Rattus norvegicus: one gene and its partner. The protein of the gene in region 2 purifies or fractionates together with the protein of the main gene of each other region. This does not show direct contact. Links are inferred from orthologs where the notes say so. Each region holds a gene or a part of one and is shown on either strand. Other genes may lie near its edges.

Region 1 (8,806 bases), on a different chromosome or scaffold from region 2:
GAGCTTGTGGCAGATGAAGGGGAAAGGCCCAGGGTCAAGACATAATGGAGAGACAGGGGAGCTAACTATCAAGCAGTAGACAAAGGGCTTTGGGCACACTTCATAAGCGCCTTGGAGTTGGAGTTCACCTCTGTCAGCGGAATATACTGAAGAACGGAGTGGACCCAATCCTGGCATTGAAAGGACCACTTAATAACGGGGTGCTTTCCCTGTCCTTTGCTCTACACAGTTTAGTCACCTGCTGACTCATGGTCTGCACTCTCATTAGCACAGGACATACCACAGTACAGTCAAAGCCTTTCTACTCTGCTCTGGCAAACGAGAGAGAACATGCCATCACTTGAACCTGTCGTTCAACGAAGGCATATGCAGGAGATCTGATGACCAGTGCTCTCTGTCTTCAACCGTCACACTACAACATCCACACGGGTTCCTGCGACCTTGAAAGGTATGGTAGGGCTTCTTCCTCACCAGCAAGCACGTGGTCAGTTTTGCAGTGGGTCCAATTTCATTGTGACACTGTCAGATCTTACAGATGTAGGGCTCAGTGCTACAGACATTGCTACTTCCTAGATCCCAAGGACGTTAAGAGTCAAGTGCCAGCTCTTAACGTATATATTTCACAATGTAATGGCTGTGTCAGTCTTTCATGACGAAAAGTGTTGCCAACACCCTCTAAGTAAGACACCTTTAAACTCTTTTTTTTTTTTCTTTTTTTTCGGGGCTAGGGATCGAACCCAGGACCTTGTGCTTCCTAGGCAAGCGCTCTACCACTGAGCCAAATCCCCAACCCCAAAAATATTCTTTTTTTTAAATTTTATGTTGCTGTCTTTAGACACACCAGAAGAGGGCATCAGATCCCATTACAGATGGTTGTGAGCCACCATGTGGTTGCTGGGATTTGAACTCAGGACCTCTGGAAGAGCAGCCAGTGCTCTTAACCACTGAGCCATCTCTCCAGCCCCACCTTTAAACTCTTAACAGGAGCTGGTGGTTTACACCTGTAATCCCCACACTTGGGAGTCTAAGGCAGGAAGATTGCTTTGAGTTCAAGGCTAGTCTGAGTTATAGAGTGAGATTGTCCAAACTCCCTATGTCCCCCAATAAAGTCAGACCAGGAGCAGATCGCATCACTGTCTGCGGGCTGACCTTGTCCTCGGGTGGTGCCCCTTCATTGTTCCAAGGATGCAGCATCTCTATGGTCCCGGGAATGGGGGCGAAGCCTTTGGCGCCCTCTCCACAGTGGCACATCAACAACAAGAGCGGCACCACTGTACAAAGCAAAGGGGAGTCAGGTTATTCACCAGCTAATCCCACGTCACTTAGAATTCACATCTGACTTCTCCAAGCCCATGCTTCCCATATTTGCAGTCTTATCTTTCTGTTTTCTGTCTTTTCCACTCTGACCCAACCTTTCCAACCTTGCTTCGGTTCAATTGCACCAAAGCCCGGAGGCAGACAGAGTCCTCTGACTCCAAGGTCTTCCTTATCACAGAGAGCCTATCACTGGCCTCCGAGCAGAATGTGGTGACTGGATGAGATCCTTTAAACCACTGTCTCCAAAATTATTTTTGTAAGACCACGGTCTCAAAGATAAGTATCAGAGTGATCAAAAGCAGCCAGGAATGGCAGCACATGCCTGTGATTTCCCCAGTATGTAGCAATTTTTCCATGCTTGGGAGGCTGAAACAGGAGGATTGCTGTGAGTTTGTGGCCAGCAGGACCTACAGAGTGAAACCTTGTTTCTAAAGCCCCATTCAAACAAAACAAGATAAAACATGCATGCATGCATGTGTGTGTGTGTGTGTGTGTGTGTATGCTCTAGTGCATGACAAACACACACACACACACACACACACACACACACACACACACACACACACACCTGGGAGAAAAAAAAAACCAGAATAAAACATCAACATATTCTAGACCATCTCAGAGTGGGGCTTTGTATAAGTTCTGACTCTCTGGTCCTTCACTTTTGACTTACCCGAGCACCATTTTCTTTTCTTTGCCTGCATTTATTTATTTACCAATTAATTAATTAATCAATCAGATAGGGTATTACATAGCCCAGGCTGGCCTTGAACTCAGTATGTAACTGGGAAAGATCCTGAACTCCAGACCCTTCTTCCGTCACTTCCCGAGTTCTGGGGTCACCGATGATCTGCACAGCATATCTGATTTTATGGAATTTGGAGGTTGAGCCCAGGCATGCCACATAAACAGGACCAATGGAGCCACACCCCCAGCTCCTAAGCACCATTGTTAAAAATCAATAGTAGTCAAATGTCATGGGCTGAGTGCCAGGTTAGACTTCGGGGAAGCTGGGAAGAGAGGGCGTGGAATTCCTGGGTAAAAGATGCACGCCCGAGTCGACGGTAAGTCAAGTCAGTCACAATCAAACAGAGCTGGTGGGCTGGAGGGCCCTGTAGACCTTTGCACTGAACTAGACACCTGTAAGTGTCTTTAATAGGCTTCTCCTCTTTGCGTGGAGATAGCCTGGGGTGTCTTGGAGGTGGTACTCTGCCCAAGTTCAAGTACAGTGCAACTACAGGGCAGAACGGAGGGCAGGCAGGACTAGCTGGACACAGCTTGTTAGCGTGAGGGCACACCGAGGTGCTTAGGAAAGGGTTGACCGCAGTGGGTTAGCAGAGGCAAGCCGAGCAGCCAAGAATGGGGACAGAGGAGACGCAATGAGTTGAGCGCGCGAATCACGCTTGGATTGGAATAAACGTTTGTAAAAACAACCTTATAAGCACACGGCGCACGGCTGTGGCAAGTCCTTTCTGAAGACCTAGTAAACTCGTCAAGGCACTGGGAATACAGGCTTTGAAGACTTACGCAGCAGAAGCAGGAGAGCCAGAATCATGAGGGCGATCGCGGCGGGGCCCAAACCGACGTAGTTGTCATACAGCGCAGCCACACAGCCACCGCCCTCCAGACACTCGCACACGGTGAGCTGGAGGACTTGCCTCTCCAGGCAGCTGAAACCCTGGCTGTCGGAGATGAGGAAGGGAATCTCACTTCTCCCAAGCTTCCGCTCGCTTGGCTGCAGCAGCACACTGGTACCTGCCAGAGAGGAGACGCAAGAGAATGGAAACGGGCGGCTGTTGAGGGAAGAGAAATGAATCCGTGGAAAGGGTCTTAACGCGGCCCAGGTGGAAGCTTTATTTCTCCCACCTCCTCCGGGCGCCCATTCTCTGTGTTCACCAAAAATGTGTCCACAGATTTCAAAAGTTTAACTAACAGAAGGTTGGGGTTGGACACAACTTTCATGATGATTCGATTAGCTATTGTGTGTGGTCTAACAAATGCTAGGAACTGCCACCACGTGACACGCTCCAGTCAGTGGGGATGCAACCATACACGAGATGTCATTTCTGTGAATAACATTTTCATTCGATGACACTTATATTACCAATTATTAAAAAAGAAGCTATCAAAGTAGTTTTTCAATGTAGCAGAAACTGATGTCACCCCCAGTTTTGATACTTTTCAGGATAAGCCTGTCTTATTTTTATCTTGGTCTTTTTATTTTTATCTTGGTCTTTTCTGTTTTTTTGATAATACCTTCTCTCTATACCTACTGTTTTGTTTCTTTTTGTGAAAAAGTTTGGTAATGGCATTTCATGTTATTTAAACGAGCATTGTAATACGGTGAGAGACACATGAAAAAAGACAAAGTAAGTAACAGATGTGAGCACCGGGAAGTTGAGGCAGGACAACAGCAGAGTTTGAGGCCAGCACAGGCAACAGAGCGAGATCCTGTCTCAAAAAACAAGCAAATAGAAACAACAACAACCCCCCCCCCCAAAAAAAACAATAAGGGAATTTTTGAAGTTGTATCTCGAAAGAAGAAAGAAAGTTACATTTGTTTATTTAGAGCAGACCTGGTTCTATCTGTGTTCCAGTGTCACAGTCAGTATGTGGAGGTTAGAGGCAGGTCCTGGGTGTGGAACTCACTAAGCAGGCTTGGCCGCAAGGACCTTTACCCACTGGGATGTCCTGCTCACATTATTTCTTTGAGACAGGACCTTGCTATAGAGAACAGGTTAGTCTGGAACTTGATGTGTAGTCAAGGCTAAGCTCAAAACAATCCTCTCGCCTCTGCCTCCCAGGATCTCACTAAAATTTTGAGAGCCATTTGTATATGTGTATTATGCAAAAAACAAACAAACAAACAAACACCGAACCGAAACAAATGACGTTAATAAATAATAGAAAAACCAAACGAAACCTTTTTGTGAATTATTTTAAGGTAAACAATAGAACAGTCGCTGATAACTGCATGGTAGGCCTTTCTGAAATGAACACTGCTTGCTAAAGAGTCTTCTGGGTAGAATTTTCTGCATTGGAGACTGTCCCAAGGACACCCAAAAGATCACACCAAGAAGAGGACTACGTGCAAGATACAGGCGTTTGACTGCACCTACGGCACCGGCTCAGACCCTTTGCCAGATCGTCTCTGCCACAAACTAGTTCTGTGCCTTTCAAGAAGTTGCTACACCCCAGTTAGGCCAGCATCCTAGCCCACCATCGGGAAATAGTGTTACTGAGCAAGGATTAAATGAGACAGTGTATGCAGAAGGCGTGATACCCAGTACATGCTCAGTAAATGTGATTTTAAACAGGACTGTTAGGAACACGCTTCACAACACATAACTGTTACACACGGCAAATCTCTAGTCTCTTCAGCTTGTTAAGACAGAAGCACTTGAAAAGATACTTGGAGAAAACCCAACCTCCCTTAAGACAAGCTAGATCGTTTTAAATATCCACAGGTCCACAGCGCTAAGATACAACTGTAGGTTTAGAGTTTAGACCCTCATTTTATTTCCCTCTTAAAGCCTACACTAGGGATGCATTGAAGCACGATTTGAGAGAAGACTCATGGTTTATATTACCATCATGACTACTATTTTTGATACAGGGTCTCACTGTGGAGCTTGGGGGATGGGGAGCTGGAACTTCTGATGTAGACTAACCTGGCCTTGAACTCACAGAGCTCTCATGGAGGGCTGTGTTCTTCCTCCCAGCACTGGGAATTCTTTCACAGTGTGCCCACTATGCCTGGACTAAAACTGTACTGAAAGTTATACTGGAAATACAATTTGGGAGAAGAAACGGCCTGTTGTAAACTCTTACTTATCAATCATGCTTACTGTCTAGATGTTGATGCACTTACTTTCTTGGTGCGTGATTTTCCACTTCTGTGCCGTTCCGGGAGGCTGGTCAATGATGGAGAAGGTGAATGGCCCACTGTTCCGGGGTCCATCCAAGTCTTCCGCAGTGACGTTCACATACGGTGCATCCGCACAGACACTCCGTACTGAGTCCACCAGTACGGGACAGTTGTCATTGACGTCTTCAACATTGATAAGGATGGTGCCAGTGACGGTTTTTTGAGGGTGACCTTGAAAGCAAGCAGGAGAGAGTTCAGACTCTGAGTGCATCACCGACCATAGACACAGGTCAGTCCAGAAGCCAATCAGATAAAGAGTGGGTGCTAGGCATTGGGATAACCCCCACAGCTGGCTCTCAGGTTCCTATCAGTGCGAAGTCACAAAATAAGCAAAAATGGGCAGGCGCACTGACGAGATGAGCCCTTTATACACAGTCAGAACAAACACTTCTGGTGGCGGAAGTTAAAATCTAAATGCATTTAACCACGAAAACCATGTGCTTATTTGACTTACCTTTGGATATAGCGACAACCTTTACAGTGTAGGTGCCATTCTGGACGTGTCGAGATTCAAAGTCGGGAATCTTTACCAGCTTAATCTCTGAAGTTTCAGAGTCCACAGAGACCCAGTTGTCGGTGTCTTGCACTTTTACGTACCTGTTACAAAACAAACGCCAGGTTCACTTTTAGTTCTGGATACATTGGAGCTAACATCTGTACCTCTTGTAGAGTTAACTTTATCCCAGTACCCTGGGTTTGAATGTCACAAGGCAGGTGGGGTAGGCTTATGCTATATAGTCTACTGAGATATTGTCAGAATGTAAAAATTACAAAAAAAAAATTAGCGGTTGACTTAAATGGAAGGAATTGAAACATGGTATAGGGTTAGGAATGAAGACTCTCAAGAAGAAATGATTTAAAATGAAATCATTGAGCTCCTGAATCTTTTTTCTCTGAAATCAAGGAAAATCAAAGTGGAAAGCAGAGAGTAGATGCTCTTACCGGGTTTTCAGAATTATATACAGTGAATACTACTGCGCTTAACACATAAAAATACAAACACAAGCCCAACGCATGAGTGTCTTGGTTCAGCCAATCACATCGATAATTTATTTTCTACGAAGTAGCTATTTAAGCGCACAAGACCGGGTGTCTGACTTAGAGTGATATTTGTGCACAGTATTTGGGGGTAATCCAATTATATCCTTGAACTACATTTTAATGCCTCTCATTATTGTCTGTAGTAAATAATTATAGAGGGAAGCAAAAGTAGGACCAGGAGTTCAAGTTCATCCTTGGCTACGCAGTGAGTTCAAGGCCAGCCTGGGCTGATGATATCATCTTAATAAACAAACAATAAAACTAGAAAAAGCAAATGGTAACACACTTGGATTTTCACAAGTACTTTTGAATGTCAGGAATTCTAAAGTAGGTGTTGATCGTCTGCCCCATTTTCCCATTTTCATAGCTCTTATGTAATAAGGTCATCTAAGCAGTAAATCTACGTGTCCCAATGGATGCATTAGGTGACGTCACTCAAAGAGCTTTGCAACTAATCTGTTGTGGAACTCTGCTTCTAGGCTCACGCGGTGTCTCAAATACTGATAAATTACTGAGTGAATAATCAGTACGACACCACACTGACAACATTAAAAATATGGTTCTCGGGCTGGAGAGATGGCTCAGTGGTTAAGAGCACTGACTGCTCTTCCAGAGGTCCTGAGTTCAATTCCCAGCAACCACATGGTGGCTCACAACCATCTGTAATGAGATCCGATGCCCTCTTCTGGTGTATCTGAAAAATATGGTTCTCGGGGTTGGGGATTTAGCTCAGCGGTAGAGCGCTTGCCTAGCGAGCGCAAGACCCTGGGTTCGGTCCCCAGCTCCGAAAAAGAGAAAAAAAAATATGGTTCTCTTGCTGTCCTTATTAAGTTTTTAAAAAGGATTTTATTTTAATATTAAATTCTGTGTAAGTGTGCTTATGTGTGTGTGGATACATGCAGGTGGCCTCAGAGGCCAGAAGAGGGGGCCAGAACCTCTGGAACTGGAGCTATGGGGGATTGAGAGCCATGCAAGCAAGGTTCAGTTCCTCTACAAAAGAGCAAGGCTCTCTCCTGCTGAGCCGTCTCTCCTGATCTTCTTGAAGACTTCACTAGTTAAATGGTTAAATGATCTAACTAGCTCTGCCTCCCAGAACCCATGAAAATGCCCATGTGTGAGCCCTGGTCAAGGGTGCTCCCTTTCTAATGTTCCATAATGCACGCTAAAGAAAGGAAATAGGACTGCTTGGAGAAACAGCTTATCATCCTTCAAAGAACATGTACCATTTCGATGATAGTCACAGGCCCTGATAAAAATAGCAGCAAGATTTAAAAAAAAAAAAAGTCAGGAAGCCATTTTCAATTGGGTCATTATTAGAACACACAAGCTTCTCAGTGAATGCAGAGAGAAAGCGCACAGAATAGCATCCTGGGGAGTCAGGTAGGGGCTGCCATGTTAGGTAGGTAGCGCCATGAAGGCTAAAAGTAGAGACCGCCCACCTGGGAAGAGCAGCGTGGCCTCCCGCAGGCAACATCAGTAAAGATGGTCACGAGGAGATTCCAGGCAACAGTGGGCGATGCTTATTTATATGAAATTGGGAAAGAGTTATCTATTCTATGACTGATAGGTTCCACTAATGGAGACACAGATGGGAATGGGAGCACACAGGTGGGGAGCTTTCTCTGCCTTTCCCTCTGCCACAGTGGGCCCTGGTTTTAGATGAGGTGTTTTATGGGGCGCCAGCACCCAGGGTCACAGGCATATGGACACATGAGCAAGAGAGTATCTCGGCCACAGAACAGAAAGTCCCCCAAAGCTGTGTTTCAGCAGCCGAATAACCCAACCCAAAGAACTACACAGATAGCAGGTTTACATGGAGCTCTCCCACAGTGAGACCCTAGAGCTAAGACAGAGATTTACAGTGTACACTGGCACTATAGGCGGGACACAATGAAATCCTTTTAGTACAGTGACAATATCCACTCAGTTCTTAACAAACCTTCTAAGTAATGGCTGCTGGGATCAATACACACCTAAGCCCTCTGGAAAGGTGGCTCAGTGGTTAAGAGTGCTCAGTGACCTAGGAGAGCACCCACAGGCTGGCCCCCAGCTGCCCTCAACTCTGTGAACTCATGTGGTGCACAGACATTCAGTCAAGTGCATACACAAAAAAGCTCACCCCTTCTTGAACTAAATAAAATGGCCTGAATAAAGATAGAAAATATACAACATGTATTTGCACATAAAATGACTTCTCTTATATTGGAACATATATTGAAACAGTGTTTAAAAAAATGTGTTTGTAAAGTGGCATTTGTAGCAAGACTTTCTCTTCACTCACTTATTTGAGACAGGGTCTCCCTGCGTAGCTCAGCTTGGCCAGGATCTCAGAATTCCTCTGCCTCAGCCCCTACAGTACTGGATTACAGGCAGGTGCTGGCATTCTTAGCACGAAGTTAATCTTATCTACTACTTCTTTACGCCCTAGTGTGCTGGGAACGAGGGGAGTTTCCCAGTTATTTTCTGAGATGGTTTTCAGTCTTCTCTACTAGAGCTGATTCAGAGGTGACCTCCACCTCC
Region 2 (9,393 bases):
AGGAGAGAACATGGCAGAAGGAGAGAACTGACTCTTCCAAGTTGCCCCCGGACTTCAACCTGTATGCGGCACACATCGGAAATAAATACACGTTTGGAAAATAAAAACTTGCCATAGTGAGGGCATGGGAGGGCTTCACGGACGAGCAGCTTATGAATAAAGTGCTTGTATGTCCTGCCCGGAAGCCCTCCCCGGGTTCTAATCCCTGTATTGTGCAGGAATGAAAGGAGCTCACCACCGTATACAGAGCTCATGTGGAGGTGCAAGGTCAAGAGCAGAGGAAGGTAGGAAGGAGAAGGTGGTTCAAGGTGGCTGCCTCACACAGTTCAGATTAAGGACAGTTTTTTATTCTCACAAACTCATGTACATTCTTCAATTTAAAAAAAAAAAAAAGAAAGAAAAAAGATGACCAGCCGGCTGGTGAGGGTGCGCACCTTTGAGCCTAGCACTCCAGAAGTACAGGCAAGAGTTCAAGGCCAGCCTGGTCTACAGAGTGAATTCCAGGACAGCCAGGGCTACATAGAAAACCCTGTCGTGAGAAGAAGAAAAAAAAAAAAAATAGATGGCCAACTGAGCATGGTGGAGCACGCCTTTGATACCGACAAGACAGAGGCCAGTGGATCTCCGTGAGTTTCTGGCCAGAAAGGGATACATAGAGATTTTGTCTTTAAAAACAAACAAGCGGGGTTAGGGATTTAGCTCAGTGGCAGTAGCAAGCGCAAGGCCCTGGGTTCGGTCCCCAGCTCCGAAAAAAAAAGAAAAAAAATTAAAAACAAACAAGCAAAAACAAAAAACAAATGAACAAAAAGAGAGCGGATATGGATTTCCCAGTGAAAGGAGGCAGAGCGGCAGCCCACAGTGAGGCAGTTTGTTGACCGCCTGGCCTCTTCTCGACATCGCTAGACATAAGATCTCTCTCCACACTGGGAAACCGCAGAGAAAGTTGAGCACCCTCTCTAATGCGGCCATCCAAAAGTTAAGAGGCCAGGAGGCTAGCACAAGCAGATAGTCAAAGAACTCTCTCTCTCTCCTCTCTCTCTCTCTCTCTCTCTCTCTCTCTCTCTCTCTCTCTCTCTCTCTCTCTCTCCAAACCTAGCCAGGAAGTTGCTAGAAAATGGGACAGTCAACCACGTCCCAAGACAAAGGCCTCAAGGTGTCTGTCATCTGCAGAGACACAAATCCCAGTGACCCATCCTGGTCCATCTCACTACCTTTTTCTTTCAGAGTTGCTGGGTCAGCCAGCTGCCAGATGCTAGTTTTCTATTAGGCCCTGTGGTCCTTCTTCCTAAAGTCCCCCAAAGAAGTTTCCTCCAAGGACTCAGTAGGTCTCAGACTGACTCTTCCCCTACAGGGAGTAACTCCTGAGCAAGGGTGGCCCTCTCCAGAGGAGACTCTACTGTGAACCTCCACCTGCTTCTCCCTTTGAAGGGAAGACCTCCCATCTGGGGCTGGAGAAAGGTCTCAGCAGTTAAGAGTGCTTAGGCTCTTGGAAAGGACCCAGACCAGTTCCCAGAACCCACATAGCAGCTCAGGGTCCTCTATAACTAACTCTGCCTGCTGAGGACCTGACACTGTCTTCTGGATACGAAGTCCTTTTTTCTGTTCTAGCCTCTTCTTTTCATAAGGACATCTGTGTGCCCCACCCACCCACCTTGTCCCTGTGGCCTCAGGGTGCTAGAAAGCCACAAGTCCATCCATCTCCCTGTGCGGTGTGCTCTGCCAGAATGACTCCATTCTCCATCTGTGCTTAAGTCAAGGCTCCTGGCTGAGGGCTCTCTTCGCTAAGATCAGTAATCATGCTGTGGTTCCGTCCGGAATCTTAAGATCCGGTAGTAAGAGCCTCAGTCTTCAGGATGTACCAGTGCGCAGGCTCAGCCTAGCCCCAGGTTCCCACTCCCAGGCCCATTCTGGAGCCAGGTGCTGGGTTGGCAGAGGGGTCCAAACCAGTCATACCTAAGAAGACCTTGCACCACCAAATCCTCCCTTGAGGACTAGGGCTCTGGCTGACAGGCACCAACCTCCCCCCCCACAACCCCTCACCCTACTCCCACAGAAAGGCCCTCCTGTAGAGGTTTTCATTGCCTAGATGCTAGGGTCTCCAGACAGGACAGGGCAGTAGAAAACTCCTCTCCAGGCAGCCTGGCTGTGCTAACTGGCATGCTCCAGCAGGACTCTCAACCCGAGCCTAAATCTGACTCATGTGTCTCCCCTGCCTCAGCCCCCGCCCATGCCCACTTAAACTTGGCAAAGCCCCAGACACTAGTTAGTGAAGCAGGTAGCTCCCACCTCCTATCCGGGGTCCAGCCTAGAAAGCTCTGAACCATGCTGTCCTTCCCTCTGGTCTCCCCTAACTTAGACCCTCTCAGCTCTTGGTCTGGAGGAGCTGCCTTACCACCTACCACAGCGACCAAGGCGAGCGGGCAGCCGGTGAGGCTTCAGAGTACTGGCAGCCAGGGGATGAGTCACTCCCACCTGACAAACCTGTCCCGCCTTCACCACCCCCACACGTCTAGCAGGGCTCTCCTAAATTCCCTTCTATCCTTGGAGCTGAGGCCCTCCAAAAGGGGCAGTAAAAAAACTTCCATTTAGGGATAAGAGGTAGCTTCCTTGGTAGAGCGGTCGCCTAGCTTATAGGAAGCCCTGGGTCCGACCCCCCAGCACGGTATAAGCCAGCTACAGTGCCGCATGCCTGTGATTCCAGCACTTGAGAGGTAGAGGCAGGAGGATGGCAAGTTCAAAGTCTGAAGAGTTGACAGATGGCTGATTGGGCTAAAGGGTGGAAGGAAAAAAAAAACTCCTGAAGGTTGTTCTCTGATCTCCACAGAGGTCTTGTGCATGCTCAGACACACAGGCACACACAACATACATACATACATACATACATACATACATACATACATACATACATAAAGATGATGATGATGATGAATGTTTTATAAAGTTTGCCTGGGCATGGTGGCACGCACCTGTTATCCCGGGGAGCAGTTTGAAACCCTCCCCTCTCCAGTCTATACAGCAAGTTCTAGGCCAGTCAGGGCTGCACTTTGAGACCCTGTCATCAAAAAGAAAGGAAGTAGTTCAAGGTCAACCTCAGAGGCTAGCCTAGGCTACAAGAGACTGTCAAGAAAGGACGGGGGGGGGGGGGGGCGGGTTGGGGATTTAGCTCAGTGGTAGAGCACTTGCCTAGCAAGCGCAAGGCCCTGGGTTCGGTCCCCAGCTCCGAAAAAAAAAAAATTAAAGGACAGTGGGGGGATACAACTTCCATCCAGGGCCGATGATGGATCCCATGGGAAAGTGCTTGCCTACGTGCAAATCCACAAGGCCCTGGATTTGGTCCTTAGCAGCCAAAAGAAAAAGGGGAAAGAAAAAAGAAATCCTTCCAGAGTTGTAGTAGAGCCTAACAGCAGAATGAGGTCTGAGCTTAGCCCTCTCTTGAGTCTAGCAACACTGGGCAAGTTGCTATCCTTCCCTGAGTTTCTGAAGAAGACATTAAAGTGCGCCTGCCTCGGGCTGGAGAGATGGCTCAGTGGTTAAGAGCATTGCCTGCTCTTCCAGAGGTCCTGAGTTCAATTCCCAGCAACCACATGGTGGCTCACAACCATCTGTAATGAGATCTGATACCCTCTTCTGGTATGTCTGAAGACAGCTACAGTGTGTTCATATACATAAAATAAATAAATAAATCTTTAAAAAAAAAAAAAAGTGCGCCTGCCTCTGTGAGCATGGTTAGTGGCGCTTGGTACCAGACAGTCTTCTGGCTTTGAGTTACCATCAGTCAAGTACTTTCTGGGTAGCTAGGTTTATTAATTCCTGAGGTCGCTGAGCCAGGAAGGTGCTTTGACGCAGGCTGCACAGGTAAGGAGACACTGCTCAGGGATTCAAACTATCTCAGTCCAAGTCCCTGTTCTCAGAGCTGACCCCTTAGACTGTCTCCCTAGATCACTGTCCTTCTGTGGACCAGCCAAATGTGTCACCTTGTCCTAAAGCAGCTCTGCAGGACGACAGGCCTCCCTCTCATAGGCAATGACCTGTGGGCCCCCAGGAAGGAAAACAGTCAAGCAGGCCCCGCCTGACCTTCCGTTCCCACAGGCTGCATTCTCCAAGCTCAACCTTAGCAGGCCAGACGGCGGCTCCAGAGGGAATGGGGTGGAGCTCGGGTGCGGGGGAGGCTTCTGTCACCCAAGCCCAGACTTGATCTGGTGAGAAATGACTAATCGGATCCTACCTTTGCTTCCCCTCCCTCCTGTCCGTCAGAAGCCAGCTTGGGCCGGGCAGCTCATAGCCCTACTTCTTCCTCAGTACTGTCTTTTCACCAGAGCCACGAACCAGATTTGCTAAACTATTCATTTAGTTCACCTAATGACAATGCCTACCCCTCCTCCTCCTTGACACGGAGAGGACATGAGCCTAAAACTAATGCCCCCAGTTCTTCCTAGAGGTGGTCACACATATTTTACCAACCACAGGACCTAAGGCGAGATTACGGGGGATATGTCTCCCACCCCCACTCTTCTATTCACAACCAAGCACCACCTCAGCTTCCAGGAGAATCAGAGCAAACAGTGCTCACGACCCCCACCCCATCTTCCCTCTGCCCCCCCCCCCCGCTAGCGTTGTCATTCCTGCTCTGTCCCCCCAAGAAGACTGGACTCCAAATGCCTATGAAAAGGCCAATCTTCAGATTTGTACAGAAGAGTGCAGCAAGCCGAGTAGAAGTTGACAATTCCAGCTGGAGAGGAGCTCTCAGCACAGGGAACCAAGGGGAGGGCTCACACTGTTCACCCTGAGGGTGCCTGGCATGGCAGAAGCCTTCCATAGCAAAGACTTCCTCCTGTCCCACTTTCCCCGCCAAACACTCAGTTAAAGAGTGGGTGGAGGAGGGACTTCTGGCAAGTCCTCTAGAAAGGACGCACCTTCATAATTCAAACCCAGTGAACAGCAAGCAACATTCCTGCCCTATGCTACCCTGCCTCAATGGTCAGCCAGCTAAATAAGCTGGGGGATGGAACGGGGGAGTTGGGGAAAGATTAATCACTCTTCCCAATCTTCCTAGTTTGGCCCAGCCCTGCCCCAACCCCATTCCTGGGGAAGGGGCAGAGCTTGGGAGGAGAGGCACTTAGCAGGCCTCATATAAGGGGGTGTGGTGGTCCCGTGAGGATGCGAAAAGGGAAGGAAGAAGACACTTCCCTTTTCAGCAACGCCCCCACCCACCCCCATTGGTCCCTACCTCGGGCCTTAGGGGCCTAGCAAACAGGATGGAGGTGGGGGCAGGGAGAACCGGGTCAAAGCGCACAGGCTGTGTTCAGCTTGGAGCTGACCAGGGAAGAGGCTTTCCTCTAAGAAGTACCACCAAGCCTTGAATCAGCTCTCAACAAGGAGACGGGGAAAATCCTAGAAAAGGCCCCCACGGTTACTTTCTCCTGGAAAGTTTGTTTGGAGTGATTTCTCAACAATAATGGGTTGCAGAAATCAAAAGATATCGCTGTTTCCCTACCAACACTCTGGAAACCACAAGCTACTAAAATCTGGGCGAGTGTTTCTTAATTTTCTCTACCGGCCCAGACTCCAGGCCATGCCACCAGGTCAGACAGACATCGGTAGGGCACTGAGCCCAGACCCTTCACCAGTTCCCCCGTCACCCCATCCACCTCCGTAAGAGAAGCCATAGACCGGCGTACACTAGAGCGGAGGGAGGCGCCACAGGTCCAGCTCGGAGCTACAGGGCAGGGCCTCGGTCCTCCAAGCGCTCACCTGCTCTGCTCAGCAGGTGGGAATCGCGTCTCTGGGAAAATGTGCACTCGGCCCCCACAGTTGGGTAAGCTGGGCGCAGACAATAGGGCCCCACCCAGGCCTGGGGGAGTAGGGAGGGAGGGAAAGCGAGGATGACGCGTGGGGTGGGGTGAGGGTGGCCCCAAAGAGACTAGGCAGCAAGTTTCCCGAGCGGTAAATTCCTGTCACCGTGGGATCTGGGACCAGGCGGAGCGGGTCAAAGTCTGCCCGGTCAGCTCCAGGGGAGAGTCAGCGACGCCGCGTCGGGCAAGCTCCGCGGGCCCTGGGGGAGGCGCGAACTCCGAGGCACCTGCCCTAGTTCCTCCCCGCCCTTCTCAGACCTGCGGTTCACCGAGCCTGGAGGGGCGCTCCAACCCAGATCGCTTGTCCCAGGGGTCCCGTGCCCCGGACCCCAGTGCGCCCCCTGTCGCTGGTGTAGGATGCACTCCCTGGCACCCGCCCTCACCTGCCCTGAAACCGCTGGAACCAACCTCTCGGCCGCTTGCCCTACTCTACCCTCAGTGATACGTACCCCTATCCGGTGTACCTGAGCGTGGAGCCGGGCCGAGCCGGGTCGGGGTCGGGTCTGGCCGGGAGACAGCCGGCGCAGGCAGCGAACTGAGCTCGGGGCGCTCGGGCGGCGGCTGCTCCGGACTCTGGCCAAGGCAGCAACTCAGTAACCGAACAAAAGGCAAAGGGACCTGACAGCCAAGCCACACCTCTCGCCCCCTTGAAGCTCCGCCCCCTAGGGAGACTCCCACCCTCTGAGGTTATCTCACTGGCTGCCCAGCCTGACTATCCTATTGAGGGGCGGAGCCTCACGCCGGGACCTCTACCACGGCCGCCTCTGTTTATGCGCTCACCATTGGCCCCAGGGACTGCCAGTCGACTCTGGGGTGGACGCCAACTTGAGGTCTCATCCTCACTCTGCATCTATTGGCAAATAGAAAGTTTCTTCCTTATGATTGGACAGAGGGCTGTCAGTAAGACTAAGGCAAAAGCCAATGGAACAGGTGGGGCGTTACTTGCCCCACCCTAGCCCTGAGCAGGTAAGACTCATTATTCTCCCCTTCCCCCTACCTGTCCAACAGGTGAGTCAGGGGGAAGCATGGGAAAGGACTGACGCCTTCACTAGCCAGCCAACTCAGCGTCAGGATTATTCATTCTTGCCTCAACATAGTAATAAGATGTTTGTAAAGCATTTCATAGGCTTTGTGCTAGGTTGGGATTTCTCCCCCTACAAAAGATGGAGTGTTCCCGGTTCTCTTCTGTTTAGAATTAGAAGGCCTGGTTTGGGTTCTCCCCTTAATCTTTGTATGACCTTAGGCCAGCTAGTATACTTTTCACCCTGTATCTAAGTGGGTTCATTAGCTTTATCTATCTTGGGTTGGAGAGATTAAATAAACTTTGTAGCTTAAACAGCTGAGGAATGTCAGTATTTAAGCCAGTGAGATGGTCCGTTCGAGACAGTTCTTAAAAAGTGCTGGAGCAGGCAGCCAGGCAGTGGTGACACGGGCCTTTAACCTTAACCTCGGCACTCAAGGAGGCAGAGGCAGGCAGCTCTCTGAGTTAGAGGCCACCCTGGTCTACAAAGAGGGTTCAAAATGATCCGCATTAAGAGAATCTTTAATGGGCTTGTGTGATGTCTCAGTTGGGCAAGTGTGATGACCTGAGTTTGATACCTGGTGGAGGTAGACCAAGTCCAAAAGGTTGTCCTCTGTCCCCTGATCTCCCGCCTTGGCACAAGTGCCACACACATAAAAGTAAATACAGTGTAATGCGATTTTAAAACTAAGCTCCAGAGATCGAAAGACTAGGAAATGTGGTGCACTGTAAACTTGGACACCTTATTTTAAGAACAGAATGGTCAGTATGTGTTTGTAGGGGTTCGGGCGGACGGTGGATACCTCTCCAGGGAGACACAGACAAAGCGATTCCGTCAAAGATTAAATCATGATGTAAAGAAGCTTTGGTGGGTTTGGGGGGGGGGTGGGGAAGCCAGTGGATGGAAAGAAAAGGAGCTTGGTTCTAAACAAAAGCGGGCAGCAAGCCCTCCATAGCGGGCAAGGCTGCTGAGCTATCCAAAAGAACTCAATAGGTAGCCTGAGAAGATGTGGGTATTTCTCCCTGCGGTTGATGACTACTGTAGCGGCTGCAACATGAACCAAGGGTCTGTAGGCATTCATTCGCTCAACGAGAGTACTGAGCACCAACTCTATGCTGGGCGCCAGTGTAGACTTTGGCTGCACAGATAATTAAAAGTACCCTAACTCTCAGAGAGCTTACAGAGTGGCAAGAGGAAACAGCTTGTGTGGGTGGGAGTTGGGGGAGTGGCTGTTTAGAAAAGAATTTCCTGAAAACACACGCGAGCGCGCGAGCGCGCGCGCGCGCACACACACACACACACACACACACACACACATACACACACACACACACACACACACACACACACATGCACGCACGCACACGAGAACTTATGGGCTAATATAACTCCAGATGAAGATATCCTAACAGTATCTTTGACCACATTACCCCAACAGAGAAAGGAACGAGGCTTAACTTGCTCTCTTCCATCCAGTAAGTCTTCCTGGAAGGGAGAGGAAGATTGCAGCATCCCTGATCTAGCTGTAGCTATGTATGTGCCAAGTTGCCAGGACCCCTCCACTCTGCTGTTTCCCTGCCAGCTTACCTGAGGGTCCTTATCTCTACCTAATCCATGCCCCCACCTGCCACTTGCCACTCTCCACAGTGATCATCCCAGACTCACTGTCCCAAGCTGCTACCTCTGCCAGGGTTCCACCTTCACCCATTCCTCCCACCCAGTCACACACCACTTCCAAGCTTTTCTCTGCTGCCTTTCTTCCTCCCTTCAGCCAACTCGCAGCAGGGGAAGGCTGGAGAGGGGAATAGACTAGCCTAGGTGGTATTGGAGGAAGGATTTGGGGCTTCTGGATAAACTCTGTGTGTCTGCAGAAGGGCACCCCTGCTTGTCTTAGCATGTAACAAGCCACACGGCACGTTGTTGAGGCCAAAGCTAAACACCACCCCCCAACCCCGCATGGAGGCTCCAATGTAGAAAACAGAGCCAGTTCCTCCCAGATGGATGGATTTCCTGTGTGTTTCTTAATCGCCTACTATGTGCCTGGTGCCTGCCAAGCACCAGGGCTTCATCTGCATCAGAGGATATGTAAAGGAATCAGAAAATAGTCGTTCCTGGAATCTGTTCTTTTGCATAGGGGATTTGATCTCCTGGAGGGAAGGGGGCACACAGGAGTGGAACTGGACATTGCTGTGACCCTGTGACCATGGTCTCCTTTGCACCTTGAACTTTAAGGAGAGGGCACAAGGGCATCTAACCCAATCTCCAGCTTCCCAGCCTTTAAAGGTAAGAATTTTTGTATTTGACAAATCTCCAAAAAAGGGAAATTCTTCAGTCTCCCTTATAGCAAACGGCCTTGTCTCCTTTTTTTCTGATAGTGGTGAGTTTCCTCTGATGTCTAGCTTCAACTTGTATCCCTGCAGCTTAACCTCATTTCCCTTGCCCGGAGCTCAGTAGGCATTAAATCCGTGGGCCACCAAGACGTATCTGATTAACTCAGCCTTGCAGCCTTTTGGAGCCTG

Evidence for each region.
Region 1: the proteins of Jup (region 2) and Dsg2 purify together in Homo sapiens (affinity purification with western blotting; 3 studies listed by BioGRID and IntAct, with this or other methods). This does not show direct contact. The link is inferred for Rattus norvegicus from reciprocal best matches to the Homo sapiens genes JUP and DSG2.

What each region holds. Positions count from the first base shown.
Region 1 is NC_086036.1:12,156,742-12,165,547, reverse strand, and holds part of Dsg2 (desmoglein-2 precursor), read right to left. Parts: intron 5,843-8,806; coding exon 5,700-5,842; intron 5,417-5,699; coding exon 5,189-5,416; intron 3,073-5,188; coding exon 2,845-3,072; intron 1,272-2,844; coding exon 1,150-1,271; intron 1-1,149.
Region 2 is NC_086028.1:85,821,293-85,830,685, forward strand, and holds the start of Jup (junction plakoglobin), read right to left. Parts: upstream 6,138-9,393; 5' UTR 5,752-6,137; exon of another isoform or gene 5,679-5,751; intron 3,048-5,678; exon of another isoform or gene 2,967-3,047; intron 1-2,966. UniProt on the Homo sapiens protein: Common junctional plaque protein. The membrane-associated plaques are architectural elements in an important strategic position to influence the arrangement and function of both the cytoskeleton and the cells within the tissue.